3 linked regions of the Oryctolagus cuniculus genome follow. The protein of the gene in region 3 purifies or fractionates together with the protein of the main gene of each other region. This does not show direct contact. Links are inferred from orthologs where the notes say so. Each region holds a gene or a part of one and is shown on either strand. Other genes may lie near its edges. The genes, in order: PRKACB, AKAP8 and PRKAR2A.

The links.
Region 1: the proteins of PRKAR2A (region 3) and PRKACB purify together in Homo sapiens (affinity purification with mass spectrometry; 6 studies listed by BioGRID and IntAct, counting the BioPlex papers as one, with this or other methods). This does not show direct contact. The link is inferred for Oryctolagus cuniculus from reciprocal best matches to the Homo sapiens genes PRKAR2A and PRKACB.
Region 2: the proteins of PRKAR2A (region 3) and AKAP8 purify together in Homo sapiens (affinity purification with western blotting; 3 studies listed by BioGRID and IntAct, with this or other methods). This does not show direct contact. The link is inferred for Oryctolagus cuniculus from reciprocal best matches to the Homo sapiens genes PRKAR2A and AKAP8.

The regions. Positions count from the first base shown.
Region 1 is NC_091438.1:87,044,552-87,050,277, reverse strand, and holds part of PRKACB (cAMP-dependent protein kinase catalytic subunit beta), read left to right. Parts: intron 1-1,786; coding exon 1,787-1,951; intron 1,952-4,399; coding exon 4,400-4,525; 3' UTR 4,526-5,726. UniProt on the Homo sapiens protein: Mediates cAMP-dependent signaling triggered by receptor binding to GPCRs.
Region 2 is NC_091447.1:61,519,186-61,525,390, forward strand, and holds the start of AKAP8 (A-kinase anchor protein 8), read left to right. Parts: upstream 1-2,398; 5' UTR 2,399-2,640; coding exon 2,641-2,659; intron 2,660-2,868; exon of another isoform or gene 2,869-3,537; intron 3,538-4,515; coding exon 4,516-4,554; intron 4,555-5,363; coding exon 5,364-5,402; intron 5,403-5,790; coding exon 5,791-6,055; intron 6,056-6,205. Other genes in the region: AKAP8L (A-kinase anchor protein 8-like), read left to right, coding at 1,646-1,741, 1,815-2,084. UniProt on the Homo sapiens protein: Anchoring protein that mediates the subcellular compartmentation of cAMP-dependent protein kinase (PKA type II).
Region 3 is NC_091441.1:100,343,897-100,349,622, forward strand, and holds part of PRKAR2A (cAMP-dependent protein kinase type II-alpha regulatory subunit), read left to right. Parts: intron 1-4,635; coding exon 4,636-4,737; intron 4,738-4,898; coding exon 4,899-4,973; intron 4,974-5,726. UniProt on the Homo sapiens protein: Regulatory subunit of the cAMP-dependent protein kinases involved in cAMP signaling in cells. Type II regulatory chains mediate membrane association by binding to anchoring proteins, including the MAP2 kinase.

The sequences.
Region 1 (5,726 bases), on a different chromosome or scaffold from region 3:
CACCTGGCTCCTGCCTTCGGATCAGCGCAGTACGCCAGCTGCAGCGCTCCGGCCACGGTGGCCATTGGAGGGTGAACCAACGGCAAAGGAAGACCTTTCTCTCTGTCTCTCTCACTGTCCACTCTGCCTGTCAAAAAAATAAATAAATAAGGAAATGTACAGCAAAATATTTTTATGATGAAAATGTCAACCTTTAAGATGTTTCCTGGAAATAGCTCTTTTCAGGTTATTGCATAATGGAAGCAGTATAGAAAAAATTAAAAGTACAGGTGCAGGGATTTAGCCTAGTGGTTAATTTGCTGAATTAGAAGCCCATCTCCCATATCAGAGTATCTGAGTTAGATACCCCACTCCTACAAATTCCTGCTAAAGCAGGCCATGGGAGACATAAGTGATAGCTCAAGTAATTGGGTTCCTGCCACCTACGTGGGATACCTGATTTGAGGTTCTGACTCCCAGCTTCAGTTAAACCTAGCCTTGGGTATTGCAGACATTTGGGTGGTGAACCAGCAGATGGGAACTCTCTCCCCTCCCCTCTCCCTAACTCTCTCCATTACTCTCACCTTTCCCTTCTCTACTCCCTCTCTCTCTCCTAATGTGAATTTTCCTCTGTTATGATGATGGTTTCAGTTTATTATTTCCATTTAAAATTTTATAGGTTGTATTAGTTTAAAAAAAAAAGAACAAAATCTCTACATAAAGTACTGAGGAGTTAGTATTGAATAGAGTTGAGAATAGTGTTTCTTCAGTTTGCATGTATATACGAATCATTTGAAGATAAAAGCTCAGATTTTAGACTCAATGTCCTCATTGTTTAAGGTAAGCCCCAGGAACTGCATTTTTACAATATTATCTCCCAGTTAATTCTCATAATTTTTATACTATTGCATAATAGCAGAGTTATACTTAAAAACCATCTATAATAAATGAAAAATAGTTCCCTGTGCTTTGAAAGAGTGTGGGTTTTTACAAACATTTTTAGACTTCTTTTTTGGTAGATCTCTTCAAAATGTACATGCTGATTTGTTTCATATGCTGCTTGCTCTATTTGTATAGAACAAGTTTCAGTTCTCACATCTCTGAGACAAGGGAGCTCTCTCTTGACAATGGGTGAACATACTGATATTGTTGGAAAAGTTCTAAATATGTGCACATTTTCCTGGAGACTGCTCCATGTTCTAAAAGGGAATTTATGACCAAAACAAGACACTAAGGGAACAGTTTTAGTTCATTCACACAAATAATTCTCTACTTTAAGACTACTGTAGGGTGTGTCAATTGTTAAATCAACAACAGGAGTCACTGTGCACTTGCTCCCCATGTAGGACCTCTGTCCTTAATGTGTTGTACTATGAGAATTAACAGTAAAACTAGTCTTCAAACAGTACTATATACTTTGTGTGTCTGTGTGGGTGCAAACTGTTGAAATCTTTACTTAGTATAGAGTTGATCTTCTGTATATATAGATAATTAAAAATGAATCTTAATGAAGAATGGGATGGGAGAGGGAGTAGGAGATGGGATTGTTTGGGGGTGGGAGGGAAGGTATGGGGAGAAGAACTGCTATAATCCAAAAGTTATACTTAGGAAATTTATATTTATTAAATAAAAGCTTTCTATAAAAAAGACTACTATAGGGACTGTGACTTTTACTTAAAAGCATTTGAAGTTGTCATTAAACAATTTTGTTAATATAATGCCCTGCTACCTTTAAAAAATGTGAAATCAAAATAGAAATATCATGAGTTTTGGAATTTGTGTTTTATCATTTGACGTGTTTGTGTAGGTCCGATTCCCATCCCACTTCAGTTCAGATCTCAAAGATCTTCTAAGGAACCTACTGCAAGTGGATTTGACGAAACGATTTGGAAATCTAAAGAATGGTGTGAGTGACATAAAAACTCACAAATGGTTTGCCACAACAGATTGGATTGCTATTTACCAGAGGAAGGTAAGACTTTTTAAAAGTTGGTGTTTAATTATATGTAGAAGTATTTTCAACTTCACATATTAGAGTGAGAAAATGTTAATATTCTAGCTGAGTATCAAAAGCACATTTTTTGTATCTTCGTAATTGATACTTTTATAAAAGATTGAAAAAACAAAGCAGTAAAAGAATTTTAAGTGCAACATACAGAAGAAATAACAAGACCTAAACAATGTAAATGCAGTACAACCTCTATTTCTCAAAAAAGTAGTTCACTCTCCAACCATTCAGGAAACATATCTGTTAACATTGTTATTACAAATGGATATGCTATGTAGTCAAGAACAGGGTCCATAGTAATTTAAAATAATCTTTAGTTGTCATAAAAAGAATTTCATATTTTTGTATTTTTTCTATAATTGTTAGCATCAATGCAATACTTTATAATGACTGAAAGCGACTGCCTTTAACTTTTCATATTAATCCTTAAAGTATTCTTTGAAATGGGTGGTACCATTTTCTTCATTTTACTAATCAGAAAATCAACTCAGAAAGGTTACTTAATGTAAAAATCTTATAACTACTGAATGATGCCTATCTTTGATCTTGCTTTCTTCAGATTCCTATTCCCAGAGCCACATTACCCATTTAAAGTCCTTTTAACATGATCAAATGATGCTCCAAACCACTGCACAATACATTGTTTCATAAAATTTTCATATCATCTGCTTGACTTCCACATATTGACCCTTGAGGGTAGGAAGACTCTTTCTCAAAAGGCTGTTAAAAAAGAGCATAAACTCTGAGGTTCAGTCCCAGATCAACCAAGCATTATTGTTATAATCTTAAACAAATAATTTAACTTCTGTAAAGCATCAATTTAATCACCTTTAAGATGGAAGAGTAGTTTGGGGAAGAAAGATCAGACAGATTAGCCAAGCTCCCTTTGAGTTCTGGTTGAGATATGCTTCATTATAGTTCAAATTAGATAATTTGTTTAATAACAGCAAAATCTTGATTAACAAAATAGACGCTAGGATCCCTGGGTGATTTACAAATAGAAATAATCCAGTACTTTAATTTGGCCATTTGTTTTAATATCTTCTCAACTATAAGAATGCACAGCAGTGCAAAAAATAAAAAGATAGTAAATTTGAATGGTTGTCATGGTTTTTATTTTGTGATCCAGTGTTCATGAATGTGAAATAGCCAAATGAATCTAGGAGAACGATGATAAAGAGAGAGAGAGAAAGAAAGAAAGAAATGGCCTAGATGACTCAAACTGTACAGTCACTCTCTAGAGATGATTGCCCAAAAGTAGAATCCTAAATTGTTGTCTGGCTAGACATGAGGCAACTGTCTGTTTAACTCATTCTTCTAGAACAAAACAGCAGTCCCCAAAGCAATGGGTGCAAGATAATCAGCTGAAAAATAAAGATACTTGAATTTCCATTCCAATTTATTTTCACTTTATTCTTTTAAAATGTCATATTTCTGTGTTTATCTTATATTATATGGTCAACCATGTGAATAATGTATAAATAAATAACTATACAAATATTGATAATGTGTGCTAGGAACTATTTTACTGAAAGAGATAGAAATCAAAAAGATTTGGAAACCACTGACATACGTAATAGAAAGAGCTCTGATCCAGAAGTAGAAAATTATGAGTTTGAGACTTGCTTTAGCCTCCTACTAGTCATGTGATTTTGGCCAACTCTGTTTTATGATTTTTACAAATAAGAATAAAATATACCTGCTCTGCCTTCTTCATAATGTGGTACTGAAGAAGAAATGAAAAAATTGTATGTGTAATTGTAAATTCAGTAAGGATTGTGAAAATTGTGTTATTATGTTTGTAGCTTTTAAATAGTTTCCTCAAATGTTTTCATTATACCACATAATCTTTGTGAAAGACCATACTCTGAATGGTGGAAAGACAGTTTACTTTCAGGATCTGAAAGGAGAAAAACATTTAAGATTTAGCAGTTCTATAATTCCAAAAGAGATACATTTCTTTCCAACTTATGACAGTTGCACATTTATGTAGACAGATAATTAAAATAAACTTGGAAATTAAAAAAGGAAGGCAATTAAAAGAAAGTCTAAGATTTATCTGTCAGCTTCAGAAGAAAGGAATATAAAAGTGAGGATAGAAAAATAAAGTCTTTGAACATAAATAATAAAGGAAAAAACTGGAATTCTGTAATCTTAGGAGCCTACATTTTGATGCCAACAATTAATTATCCTAGGAATGTCTCAATGTTGTTATATTCCTTGAATGAAAATGATGAGTTAAACAGCAAATCTACTGTTTGCTCCTTCTTCTGATGCCAATATATTTTAGGGATTTAACGGCATTCAAAGATGCCACCAGTTATTAAGAGTGGAAATTTATTTTCCTTAGTGTTTACAAACTCTCAGGAATTTAGTTTTCCTCTTATTTTCCTCTCTATCCCAATTATGTAGGTTGAAGCTCCATTCATACCAAAGTTCAGAGGCTCTGGAGATACCAGCAACTTTGATGACTATGAAGAAGAAGATATCCGTGTCTCTATAACAGAAAAATGTGCGAAAGAATTTTGTGAATTTTAGAGAGGGATAACAAGAGGCGATCAGAGCTCACACTCAATCTTTGCACTCTGGTGAGAGACAAGGTGGAGCTGAGACCCTCCTTGTTGAAGCAGTTACCTAGTTCCTTCATTCCAGCGACTGAGTGAGGTCTTTATTGCTGTCATCTGTGTGTGCACTCTGCATCCACCTATGTAAAAAGGCACCGCTAAGTAAGCATTTCCTGTGCCATAACACAGTACTAGACTACTTTTCTTGGTTTGTCTTTTTCTTCTCCTCCTTCTTTTTCATTAGTTTTCCTCCAAACAGCACTGCATTTTATCTTGCTGGTGTTTCAGGTGCACAGTGTTATGGCTACACAATCTCTGAAGGGCAGGACAACTGTTGCTTTTAGTAGTTCTTGCCAATGTTTTTGTTGGTAAATGGCCTGAAGATGAACTTTCTAGTAATTGTTTTTGTTTGATCAGCTCAAACTCAGTTTTGCCAAAACTCTAGACAATTCTTTAATTGAATAATGTCTTACCACCCAAGACATTCGCATAAATGAAGTTCATTTTAATTTCCTTGAAATTCACTATTCTGGCAATGCATTTAGATAGACTAATATTGAGTAGTTATACCCAACAATTTGGATTCCTATAAATCAGAGGTTCTATTTCCCTTTGCTTCCTTTTATATTATCTCCCCCACCTCTATCCCTTAAGTAATGAAATAACCAGCCCTGTGCATTGTGACAAATGTGTCTCCTTCAGCAGCAAATTCTAATGATATGGCTCATCACCCAAATTCTCTCACTTGGTACCAGCATTTCTGTAAGTATTACAGAAGGGCTTGAAGGCTTATAAACCTTACCTCTTCCTCAAGGGTTTTAGCTGCTGTTTTAATAGAACAAGATTAGTGAAAATGACAATATTTGAAGTTTCTCAAATAGTCCCTATTGTAAAGTTTTTACAGGGAAGGAAGCAAGCTAAAAAGAACATTGGTTTGGATAAACACTTTGCTAAGTCAAACAAATGACTTGATTCTTGCAAATAGTATAGAGGTACTCTTATTTAAATGAGCTTTTTGTTTTGTTTTGTTTTGTTTTGTAATAGTTAAGAACAAAAGAAGTTGTCACCAGCTTATTATTCTGGTGTGCTATATTTGTAAGCCTAAGGTAGGGGCATGGTTGCAACTTTTGCTTTTATCCCATGTCTCATCAAAGAGGAAAGGGGACAAGGACAAA
Region 2 (6,205 bases), on a different chromosome or scaffold from region 3:
GGCTTTCTGAGACATCCATAGAGCTGGCTAGTGCTCTGTAGGGGTCCCGGAGGCAGGTGTGTGCTCTAGCTCCCTCGTTCCCATTCTGCCCCTGGCTTTCTGGTGATGACAGTGAGATGTGCCTGGACTCCCAACCACAGAGGAAATGACACGGGTCAGTGTGCATCCTTCCAGAGCCACTGGGGGCAAGTCACAACCACTGCCCTGTCACTCACCTTTCTTATGCCAGTGGACACATGAGCCCGATTTTAGGGGCTTGCGCAGTGTGCTTTTGAGTGTCTGATGTAATCATTTCCTCCACCAAAGAACATTCCAGTGCTTTCCAGTTTTTCATCACCATATAACTATTGTGCATGCATTTCCCGAATTTCTTTTTTCTTTCGACCTATTCATTTGAAAAGAGTGACACAGAGGGGGTGAGAGAGTGCTTCCATCTGCTGGTTTATTCCCCAAAAATGGCCATAAGAGCTGGGGCTGGGCCAGGCCAAAGCCAGGAGCCTGGAACTCCCATCTGGGCCTCTACGTAAATGGCAGTGACCCAAGGACTTGGGCCATGTCCTGCTGCTTTCCCCAGGCGCATTAGCCAGGAGCTGGATCAGAAGTGGAGCAGCGGGGACTTGAACCAGCACTCATTCGGGATGCCAGCATTGTAGGCAGTGACTCCATGTTTTCAGTTCTGTTTAAAGAGTTATTCATCTATTTATTTTGTTTATGTAAAAGGCAGAGTTACAGAGTGAGGAGAGACAGATGTTCCATCTGCTGGTTCACTCCCAGTTGGCCAGAACAGTCAGGGCTGGGCCAGGCTGAAGCCAGGAGCCAGGAGCTTCTTCTGGATCTCCCACATGGGTGCAGTGGCCCCAGCACTTGGGGGCCATCTCTGCTGCTTTCCCAGGCTGTAGCAGAGAGCTGGGTCAGAAGTGGAGTAGCTGGGTCTCGAACTGGTGCCCATATGGGATGCTGGCATCACAGGCGAAGGTTTAACCTGCTACACCACAGCGCCGGCCCATGTTTTCAGTTCTTAAACTTAGGATAAGTTCTGGAAAGGGGTTGAAACAAATTTTTACTTTAAAAAAAAAAAAAAACTTATGTGAAAGGCCGTGTGACAGAGACAGGGAGAGACAGAAAAGAGGGACCTTGTATCCACTGGTTCACTCCTCAGGGACCTGCAGCAGCCAGGGCTGGGCCAGGCCAAAACCAAGAGCCCAGAGAGCCACCTGGGCCTCCTGGTGGGTGGTGGGCCGTGGTCTGCCTCCCAGGTGCGTTAGCTGACCCCAGGCTCTGCAGCGCGGGATGAGTGGCCTCACGCACTGCACCGCGCTGCGGCTCGCGCCGCATTTAGCTCTTCAAGACTGGAACCCTGTGGGTTATGGTCGCTGGAGCTCACTGGCCTTGGACATGGGTGTTCCTGGCTTTCTGCTCTGTCGATGCTGAAGGCCTCTGCGCGGATCGGGACCTGTGGCTCCTCGTTGTGTGGGTTGTGCACGTGTGGGTTAGAAAGCTTCTGTGTGATTCCTGCAAGTCAGGGCCGAGCTCTGTAGGTGACCCTTGATCCCAGTAAGTATGACGGCCAGGCAGAGTGGGGCAGCGCAGAGCGGGCGGGCAGGCGCCCGGACAGCGTCTCCAGCCCTGCCCGCCCTGCCCGCAGCTCATGATGGAGCAGTCCAAGAAGTCCTCGCTCATGGTGGCCCGCAGCATCCTCAACAACAAGCTCATCAGCAAGAAGCTGGAGCGCTACCTGAAGGTAAGGCGCCGCCCGGCCCCGCCCCGCCCCGCCCCGGCCCCGGGCCCCGCCTCACTGCCCGCGCTCCCTGCAGGGTGAGAACCCCTTCACCGACAGTCCCGAGGAGGACCGAGAGCAGGACGAGGCCGAAGGGACGCCGGGCGACGCGGAGGCCGCGCCGGCGCAGCCCCCGGTGCCCCCGGAGCCGAACCCTGGCGCCGCGTCGCCGCCGCCGCCGCCGCCTCCCCCGGAGGAGGAGGAGGAAGGCGAGCCCCTCCTCGGCGGGGCCCTGCAGCGCCAGATCCGCGGCATCCCGGGGCTCGACGTGGAAGACGACGAGGAGGGAGGCGGGGGCGCCCCGTGACGCGGGCCCAGGGCGGGCAGGGCCTGCGTGGCCAAGGCTGGAAGTCAAGTCGAATAAAGTTCTTCCCACCCAAGTCCTAGTCGGCCTGTCAGTGTGCGGGCGGGCGGCGGGCGGCGGGCGGCGGGCGGCGGGCGGCGGGCGGCGGGCGGCGGGCGGCGGGCGGCGGGCGGCGGGCGGCGGGCGGCGGGCGGCGGCGGGGGGGCGCAAACCACTCTCTGGGCGCCGGAGTAGGCTGCGCCTGCGCACGGGGGAGGTGCGAGTTGCGCCTGCGCGCCGGCGGCGGGCGGGGCGTGAAGTGCGCCTGCGTGTGGCCTGGGCCCCGAGACGCCGGAGTCCAACCACAATTCCCGAGAGGCTGCAGGCGCCAATCGCAAGCAACCCGGAAGGTTAGCTGGAACGGCCGTGGGCGTGTCTTCCGGAAGACCAGCCATTGGCAGCGCGCGAAGGGAGTGACGTGATACGTGACTTCCAGTAGCGGAAGGCGGGAGGTGCGTTGAACGCATGCGTCCTGTGGCAGCCTAGATAAAAGGGGCTGCTGGCGGGCCGCGTCGAAGACATGGAGCAAGGCTACGGAGGTCAGTACGAACTGCTCGGCGCGAGTCGGGGAGGGCAGGTGCCATCCGGGCGACGCAGCTGCCGCTGCGCAGAAGACCACGGGCCTGGCCTACGGGGCGAGCGCAGTTGCCCCAACGCAGCCCTGCCAGGAGGCGGCCGGGGCGCGCGCGCTGCTCATTGGGCCTTGGCGCCGTCTCTCCCGGGGCGCTGCGTGCCGATTGGCCAGCAAGCCCGAGGGGCGGGCGGCGCTTCGGGGGGCGCCGTGGGTCGTCCGGGCCGTTTTTTCCTCGCGGCGCAGCGGGAGCTCAGCCGGGCTTCGGCGACTCTAGTGCTCGCCGTCCCGCCGCCTCCTCCTCCTCTTCCTCCTCCCCTCCCCTTTACAGACGCCACAAAATGGCGGCTCCGGGGGCGGGGCCACGACGTGGGGTCCGGCCCGGGGGTGCTTGATCGACGGCTGGGGACCCGCCTTTCCCGGGCCCGCTGGGCTTGGTAGGGCCTTTGCTGAGCGTTGTGGCTGCGAGCACATCCGGTCTGCGCGGGGTCGGGTCTGTGGCCGGCCGGGCCCACCGCGGCCTCTGCAGGGGTTAGCCTCTCCGGGCGCAGCTGTGTGCTGGCCGAGGGGGGCGGAGGCGCCCCCGGACGAGACAGCCGGGGGACAGGCCGAGGAGTTTGGTGTGCGAAGCCGGGGTGCAGCAGCCCCTCATGGCGGCCTGGAGGGGCCTAGGGACCGTGTAGGAGCGGACGCGCCCCTTCCCGCTTGGCTTCAGCGCCTGCCTGCGGTGGAGCCGACCTCTTCGAGCTCCCCGCTCCTGTTCTCGGGAATCAGAACCTTCCGGGAGGCCTTTGCTCTGTTCCTGGGGCCGGGTTCACCCGCCAGAAACCCGTTGGAACTTGCACGGTAGGGCTGGGCCGGGGAGAGAAGCTGGGGGCGGGGGATGTGGGGACGGGTCTGACCTGGGCTGCGGCAGCTAAGGCAGGCGCGGGTCTCTAGAGGTGACAGAGTGGGGGGGTCCCTGCAGCAGGGATTGCAGAGGGTGGGGGTCTCTGAGCTGCAACCTTGTGTGCGTGTGCGTGCGCGCTTGGGTAACCATAGCGCCCTAGGGGAGGGCTCGGCCCGCTCCCTGAAGCCTGGCCTGGTCTCTCTGCCTTGTCTTCCTTCGCGCCAGACAGCTCCTGCCAGTAACGCCGTCCTCCCTTCGTGTAGGCTGGAGAGGTTTTTCTCTCCTGCGCGTCCTAGCTGCGGAGACTTTTTTGAGTCCCCCCCGGGTGGTGTTTTGAGGGATCAGGGCCCCGGAGGTCGGTCGGCTGCTGTTAGGGTCTGAGCACGGTGGGTCAGGAGAGGGCTCCGTCCGCAGTGGAGCGAGTCCCCGAGCTCCTGCCGCACAGTAGGGCATCCTGTGGGCGGCGGGACGTCTTGGAGGCGAGCGTGTCTGCTCATCAGAGTTGAAGTGCGGTGGTGGGCACGGGCTTGGGGGACGCAGGTGAGAAGCCAGCTCCCTGCCCCGGAGGCGGGGCCTGGAGGGTGACATTTCCCTGCTCTGAGTGGCCCTGGGGTCCTTCGGGGGAGCTGAGCCCTGCTCTTAGCTTGCTGGGTGTTGCAGACAGCTGTAGGCTCCTGCTCATCCTTGACTCGGGTTTGAGGCTTGGAGGGGCCTTGGAGCAGCTCTGACCTCTTCTCCCCTCCTCCCTCCTCTCCCTTCCCCTTCCACCCTCCCTTCTCCTGCCTTGAGGCCTGTCAGCCGGCTGTGGGACGGATCCTTAGGGGATGATGCTGGCAGCCATGGCTGTCTTCTCTGGAGGCCAGCACCTCCAGGTCCGGGTGTCCCGTGCGTGCGTGACGGCTGACGCGTTAACCCGCAGCATCTTTTGTTCACAGGCTACGGGGCGTGGAGTTCAGGGCCTGCCAGCAACCAGGGTGAGTGGGTCGAGGGGGAGATGGTCCCCCGGGGGTCTACAGAGCGCTCTGTGGCTGCTCAGGCAAAGGAGCTGACTAGACTGCAAGCCACCTGCTTTTCTTGTTTTGAACGGGCAGTGAAATTTGAATGTCATGGTTTTGGCGTGTCACGAGATGCCGTTTGTCACAGCAGGCTCTCTCTCAGGGCTGTGTGTGGTGGGAGTGTTCCCTGTCCTCTAATGGATCCTGTGTGCTGCCTAGTGCAGCTTTGGGTTTAGGGTTGAGCGGATGATACTCGAGTTCCCTGCTTCCGCCTCCCCCCACCCCCCAGTGGTGCGGGACATTTCCCCTGCGTGTGTGCGGGCTGACCCTGCCGAGGGGCCGCGGCGAGGTGCTCAGTGTGTCCGGAGGACGGGGAGTGCTCTGTCTGCTGCCGGCCCCTGATGCCTTCTGAGCCTGGGACCTGTCCCAGCACCCGCTGGGGACACATCGCGTTCCCTCGTTCAGTTGAGTTGAGGACGTGATTTTTTTCCATCAGAGGCTCCCCGGGGCGGACTGGCAGTGCCCGAGAGCTGGCCCTTTATCAGGCTCCGCTTGGCAGCCTGGCTGGCCTCCTGGCTGGTGGCCCACAGGAGACGGACAAGCTTCCTGGGGGTTGTGTGCACCAAAGCACCCTTTTCCCGGCCCGCTAATCAGGAGAGAAGCGCAGGTTCCGCTCAGCCTGGTTCTGTGGGTCTTGGGTGCAGTGCAGTCTTGTCTCCCTGGAGCTGGGTTGCTGGTGCCTTCAGCCTCCAAACGAGGCTCTCATGTGTCTTTCTGTTTCTCCTAAGGTGCATATGGAAGTGGGGCGACCAGCTGGGGGTCTGCAGGTGGGTGAGGGGCTGAGATGCACACCCCTCCTCCTTTCCCTGTCCCCCATCACCCGGGTGTCCCCCAGCCAGTGGGGATGTCTGGTGTGCTCCCCCTCCCCCCGCGAGCATGGTGCTGGAGCAGGGTCATGGGTGGGTTCCAGGAGCAGCAGGCTCTTGACAGCCCAGACTCCCATTTGTGGGGGACTCTGCCAACTAGGGCTTGATGGGGAGCCACTTCCCGCTCTGGCCACCTCTTGCTGACTCCTTGACAGCTGTGTGCCCACACCACGCCAGCAGTGCCTGGTCTCTGCCAGTCCTTTGCCTTCTAGGTGGGCGGTGGGTTCTCCTTCACTGCCAGGGCCTCGGGCCTGCCCAGGTCTGACCTGGGGCCTCTACCCTCTGACAGGTTACGACAACTACAGTTATTACGGGGCCCAGGGCGCCGGCGTCACCTCGGGATCATCCTACAACTACGGCCCAGGCTCGTCCTGGGAGGCCTCCAAGGGCCACGATGGGGGCCCTGCCATGCACATGTCCTCCTCTTTCGGGCCAGAGCCGTGCGACAGTTCTGACTCCCTCATTGCCAAGATCAACCAGCGTCTGAACATGATGTCCAAGGAAGGAGGCAGGGGCGGGAACAGCGGCGGGGAGGGCATGCAGGACCGGGAGAGGTGATTATGGCCCTGAGCCCTTCCCTGGGTGGGGGGGTTCCCTGCACGCTGGCTTGGTGCTGGCTCTCGCTCGTTCTCTCTCTCATCTCCCTCTTGAGTGTGGCGTAGGTGAGGGAGCCGAGCCCACTGTGGGGGAGCGGGGAGAAGAGG
Region 3 (5,726 bases):
GCTTCGGATCAGCATGGTGCGCCGGCCACAGCGCACCGGCCGCAGCGGCCATTGTGGGGTGAACCAACGGAAAAGGAAGACTTTTCTCTCTGTCTCTCTTTCTCTCTCATTGTCCAATCTGCCTATCAAAAAAAAAAAAAAAAAAAAAAGACTATCCCCTTGAGGTTTCTAAATTTTGTTGAAGGATTGAAATAAGAATTATGATATTATCTGCTATTATTACCTATTCTCAATGTATATAGGAAAATATTTAAGATAATTATACTGTAAAGGGGAGAATAAGGCGGCCTAAATGGAAATAAAGCTTTTACAATTAAATTAGTAAGTGTTGACACCAGTACAGTGAGTTACACGCGTGTAATCTAATACCTAGAACAACCACTAAAACATCTATACAAAGAGATGTACTTAGAAGCTCTGTAATTCAAGTAGAACTATAAAAATTATTCAGATAACTTACAGGAAGGCAGTAAAAGTGAAACAAAGATTTAAAAAACCAGGGGAATTGAGCAGGCATTTTTTCTTGAAGTTTAGGTGCCACTTAAGACTCCCACAATTCGTGTTCAGTCCCTGGGTTTAATATTTAGCTGTGACTCTAGCTTCCTGCTTGTGCGGATTTTGGCCTCGAGTAGAAGACCTGGATTGAATTCCCAACTCATGCCTTCAGTTCAGCCCCTTGTAGCCATTGTGGTGATTTGGAGACTGGACTGTTGAAAAGAGGAGAGATTATATTAATATCAGATAGAATAGGCATCAGAGTAAAGAAAATCACAGGGCCAAAATAAATATATAATAATGAAAGGGCCAGGGGCCAGTGCCGTGGCATGGCAGGTTAAACCCCAGCCTGCAGCGCCAGCATCCCATTTGGGCACAGGTTCCAGTCCTGGATGCTCTACTTCTGATCCAGGTCTCTGCTATGGCTGGGAAAGCAATGGAAGATGGCCCAAGTCCTTGGGCTTCCGCATGGGAGACCTGGAAGAAGCTGCTGGCTCTTGGCTTCAGTTCAGCTCAGCTCTGGCCGTTGAGGTCATCTGGGAAATGAACCAGCGGATGGAAGACCTCTCTCTTTCTCTCTCTCTCTCTCTCTCTCTGTAACTATGTCTTTCAAATAAATAAAAATTAAAAAAAAAAAAAAGAAGAAGAAAGGACTATTCTACCAAGAAGATACAGCAATTGTAAATACACATACACACCAAATAATAGTTCCAAAATATGTAAAGCAAAAACTGATAACATAGAAAAGAAAAGCAGACATCCACAGTTACAGAGGATGGAGATTTCAACACCCAGCTGTCAACAGTTGTTGAAACTACCAGACGGAAAACTAGCAATGATACAGAACTTAACAACATGAACTAGCAAATCCCCATGGCGTGGTGCTCCTCACTAGCCCTCTCTGAAAATTCTCCTATGACTTCTGCCCTAGTTTTCTTCTTCCTATGCTTATCCTTTGAAGTTTTTTCTTCCTTTCCCTGCTGTCTTTTTTTTTTTTTTTTTTTTTTTTTTTTTTTTTGACAGGTAGAGTTATAGACAGAGAGACAGAGAGAAAGGTCTTCCTTCCATTGGTTCACTTCCCAAATGGCCCCCATGGCCGGCACTGCACCGATCTGAAGCCAGGAGCCAGGAGCTTCTTCCTGGTCTCCCATGTGGTTGCAGGAGCCCAAGCACTTGAGCCATCCTCCACTGCCCTCCCAGGCCACAGCAGAGAGCTGGACTGGAAGAGGAGCAACCAGGACTAGAACCTGGCATCCATATGGGATGCTGGCGCTGCAAGGCAGAGGATTAACCAAGTGAGCCACGGCACCGGCCCCTCCCTGCTGTCTTAATTAAGGCCAATAACCCATCAGGATGCTCTTCTGCTTTTTGTTCTGCTTCATTCACTTGCTTCACAATGTCAGACTCTCCCAAAGCTTGAGTACCACTTCTAGAAAAGTTGCTCCCAGAGGATCCTCTCCAGCCGGACTTCTTCACTCATGCCTGGGAAGACCTTGGAAATGCCTAATGAAGCTAAGGCCAGGTGGACTGGGTATTGTCACTGAGTTTCTCCACTTGGATCCTGTATTCCTTCTTTGACAGGGAATAGCTGCCACTGTGGGCACTAGTCAGTTTCTGCTCCTGCTCGAGTGGAGGTCAGTAGAAGCTTCCCTAAGGAACGCTTGTAGTTACAAGAGGGGGTGGCACTCCTTTTCTTTTCAAACTTTCAGGTGGTTTGCTTGCCTCTGAGCACCTGCTGTCTCTGAAAGTTCACCTGCAGTGCCCCACTGGGAGCTCTCCAAAGGCTGAGTTGGTGTCTGGTGCTGTTTTGTTGTTATTGTTGTTGTTGTTTTTAACCTTCCATAGCTACAAGAATTGGCCTTGCATGATATGAATAGAGAGTTCTGGGAAGTGTGTGAAAACATGCATAGGAGGGATTGGAAAATGAATGGATAAATCTGCAGGATACTCTGGGATTGGCTATGTGGTACAGTGACTTAAGCTGCCTCTTCAGACACTGACATTCCATGTTGGATTGTGCTTGTTGGAGTCCCAGCTACTTTGCTTCTGATTCAGATTCCTGCTACCTGGAAAGGTAGCGAATGATGGCCCAAGTACTTGGGTTCCTGCCACCCACATGGGAAACTTGCATGGAGTTCCAGATCCTGAGTCAAGCCCCAGCCTTAGAAAGCATTTGGTAACTGCACCAGCAGACAGAAGATCTTTTCCCTCCTCTCTCTACTTCTTTATCACTCTGCTTTTCAAATAATTTTTAAGAGATATCTGTTGTTTTTCTCCTTAGATAGAAATGCAACTTGCTATTGAAATTATTATAATATTTGTAACATTATAAATGGATTTATAAATATTATTTTTTGACATGCCTATTCAAGCATAAGGAAAGGGGCTTTATAATTCTCATTTTCTGTCTTAATTGTTCTCTTTCCATAACATTCCTGGCCTAGATTGGCCAATATTCCAAAGTATAAAAGTAACATTTTAAATAATACATCTTTATCCTCGACTTCAGAAAATCCATGGTAGATGATGCAGCCACAACAGAGCGACTAGAGATTGAATGGCTCGTTCCAAGTATATTGGGGGAAAATGGGACAGAATCTGCCTAAGTACCAGAAAGCAGACCTTATTTGTACAGCCGTGTAAGTAGGGAGAGTAGGATTCTACCACTGCCCACACTAGGAGTGTAGGTGACTTCTCTGTTTATGTGGGTGAAACGTGGCACAGGATAGGACCTGGGAATTCTACAGCTGATAGAAAATGAGCCAGTGAAGTCCATTCAGATGTTGCGCCCAGTTGTCTGTTATGTGCTGTCTTTACCCCACAACCGCTCCAGCATCAGGAACCTACAGTGAAATAGGCCCTTACTCCCTTGCTGCTGCTTTACTTTTCCAGCCTTTAGGGTATTTTTATAGTTTCCAAAAGAAAACTTTCCATTCTTGACAGCCTGTGTAGGAAAAAGGAATAGCTAACTTGGGTCCAAATGACTGTTCACCCATTTAGAAGCCTGAGACTAAGCAGTTAACATTTTCCTGTCCATGTGTCTCTCCCCACCTATGTTCACACGTGTCTGAAAAGTGCCTGGCTCTAGGTAGCTCTGATTTACTGTCTCCTAATCAGAATCCATGACTTTACTGGGGTCAAGGTACCTTTTATATGTCTGCCTTCCATTTTGAGTATCCTCCCCTATCTTTTCATTAATTTAAAACTACTCATCCTTCAGATCCCAAATTTATATTTTTGCTACAAAACTGTCTTCAATCATTCCTGCTTACTGTGATCTCCCTCCCATCTCAAATTCTTGTGATGCTTGCCTTCTGTAGCTTCACCTAGTGTATTTCATATGCTGCCTTGAACTGTAGACTCTTTATTCCTGTGTGTTTTGTGTTGTCTCATGATTAAGATGGTGAAGTCCTTGTACTCAAGAACCATCTAGTTTTTTATTCCTTCCTTTTTTTGGAAGGCTGTCTTTTTTTTTTTTTTTTTTTTTTTGACAGGCAGAGTGGACAGTGAGAGAGAGAGACAGAGAGAAAGGTCTTCCTTTTGCCGTTGGTTCACCCTCCAATGGCCGCCGCGGCCGGTGCGCTGCGGCCGGCGTACCGCGCTGATCCGATGGCAGGAGCCAGGAGCCAGGTGCTTATCCTGGTCTCCCATGGGGTGCAGGGCCCAAGCACCTGGGCCATCCTCCACTGCACTCCCTGGCCACAGCAGAGAGCTGGCCTGGAAGACGGGCAACCGGGACAGAATCCGGCGCCCCAACCGGGACTAGAACCTGGTGTGCCGGCGCCGCTAGGCAGAGGATTAGCCTAGTGAGCCGCGGCGCCGGCCGGCTGTCTTTTGATTTTAAACAATGACTGTGAGCTCCCCAATGTTTGATTGGGAATTCTTTGTTTTGTGGTCTGTTTGTGACCCACAGGTGGCACCCATTGAACACTAGATAGCAAGCAGCAGTGTGTCGGGCATTTGTCTGGCTTAGGCTACAAGTCTTTTTCTTCCATTGACTACTCTGGAATTGAAGTATCATTAAACACTCAGTTGACACAATAACTTACATAATCTAACAATTGACGTGTCCCAGTTAACTAAACCGTGGACATTGTCTTACACAGGCATTTACTAGATTTTTCATTTTCTTTCTTATAGGACCGGGTGACTTTTAGAAGAATCATAGTGAAAAACAATGCAAAAAAAAGGAAGATGTTTGAATCGTTTATTGAGTCTGTGCCCCTCCTTAAATCACTAGAGGTAAAATCTATTTGAGTAAGAGTCTTTTTATGGTGGGGAGAGAGAAGCTATCTGTTACTAAGTTTTCAAATCATATTATTCTAGCCCATTTCTGTGTTGTATAAGTAGTGTAACTTTCAGTTAAGGTCTTTTCCTTATGATTTGTGTGTCTGTTGTTTCAGGTATCGGAACGAATGAAGATTGTGGATGTCATCGGAGAGAAGGTCTATAAGGATGGAGAACGCATAATCACTCAGGTAAGCAGAGGCCCTGCCCAGCTCCTTTCCTGAAGTCACCACTTGAAAACAAGCACATCACTTTTGTCTCTTAAGATGTCTGTGAGTTCCCAACAGTGGGAGCTCACGTTGGAGGAACTAGGTCGTAGCTCCTGCAGAGTGCTTTGAAGCCTGCTGATGGTCCATCTGATTGACTGATGTAGATCTCTTGCTTCCATTCACTTTTTTTTTTTTTTAGCTTCTTATGTTCTTTTTTTTTTTTTTTTTTTTTTTTTTTTTTTAAGAGAGAGAGACTTTTTTTTTGGTTACTATTATTTTATTTGAAAGGCAGAGTTAGAGAGAGACAGAGAGGTCCTGCAATGCTGGTTCACTCCCCAGATGGCCACAATGACCAGGGCTGGGCCAAGCAGAAGCCAGAAGCCCAGAGCTGCTTCTAAGTCTCTCACATAGGTACAGAGGCCCAAGCACTGGGCCATCTTCAGTTGCTTGCCCAAGCGCATTAGCAGGGAACTGGACTGAAAGTGGAGCAGCCTATAATCCTCCGCCTGTGGCGCTGGCACACCAGGTTCTAGTCCCGGTCGGGGCACCAGATTCTGTCCCGGTTGCTCCTCTTCCAGGCCAGCTCTCTGCTGTGGCCAGGGAGTGCAGTGGAGGATGGCCCAGGTCCTTGGGCCCTGCACCCGCATGGGAGACCAGGAGAAGCACCTGGCTCCTGGCTTCGGATCAGCATGGTGCGCCGGCCGCAGCACACTGCCAGAGCGGCCATTGGGGGGT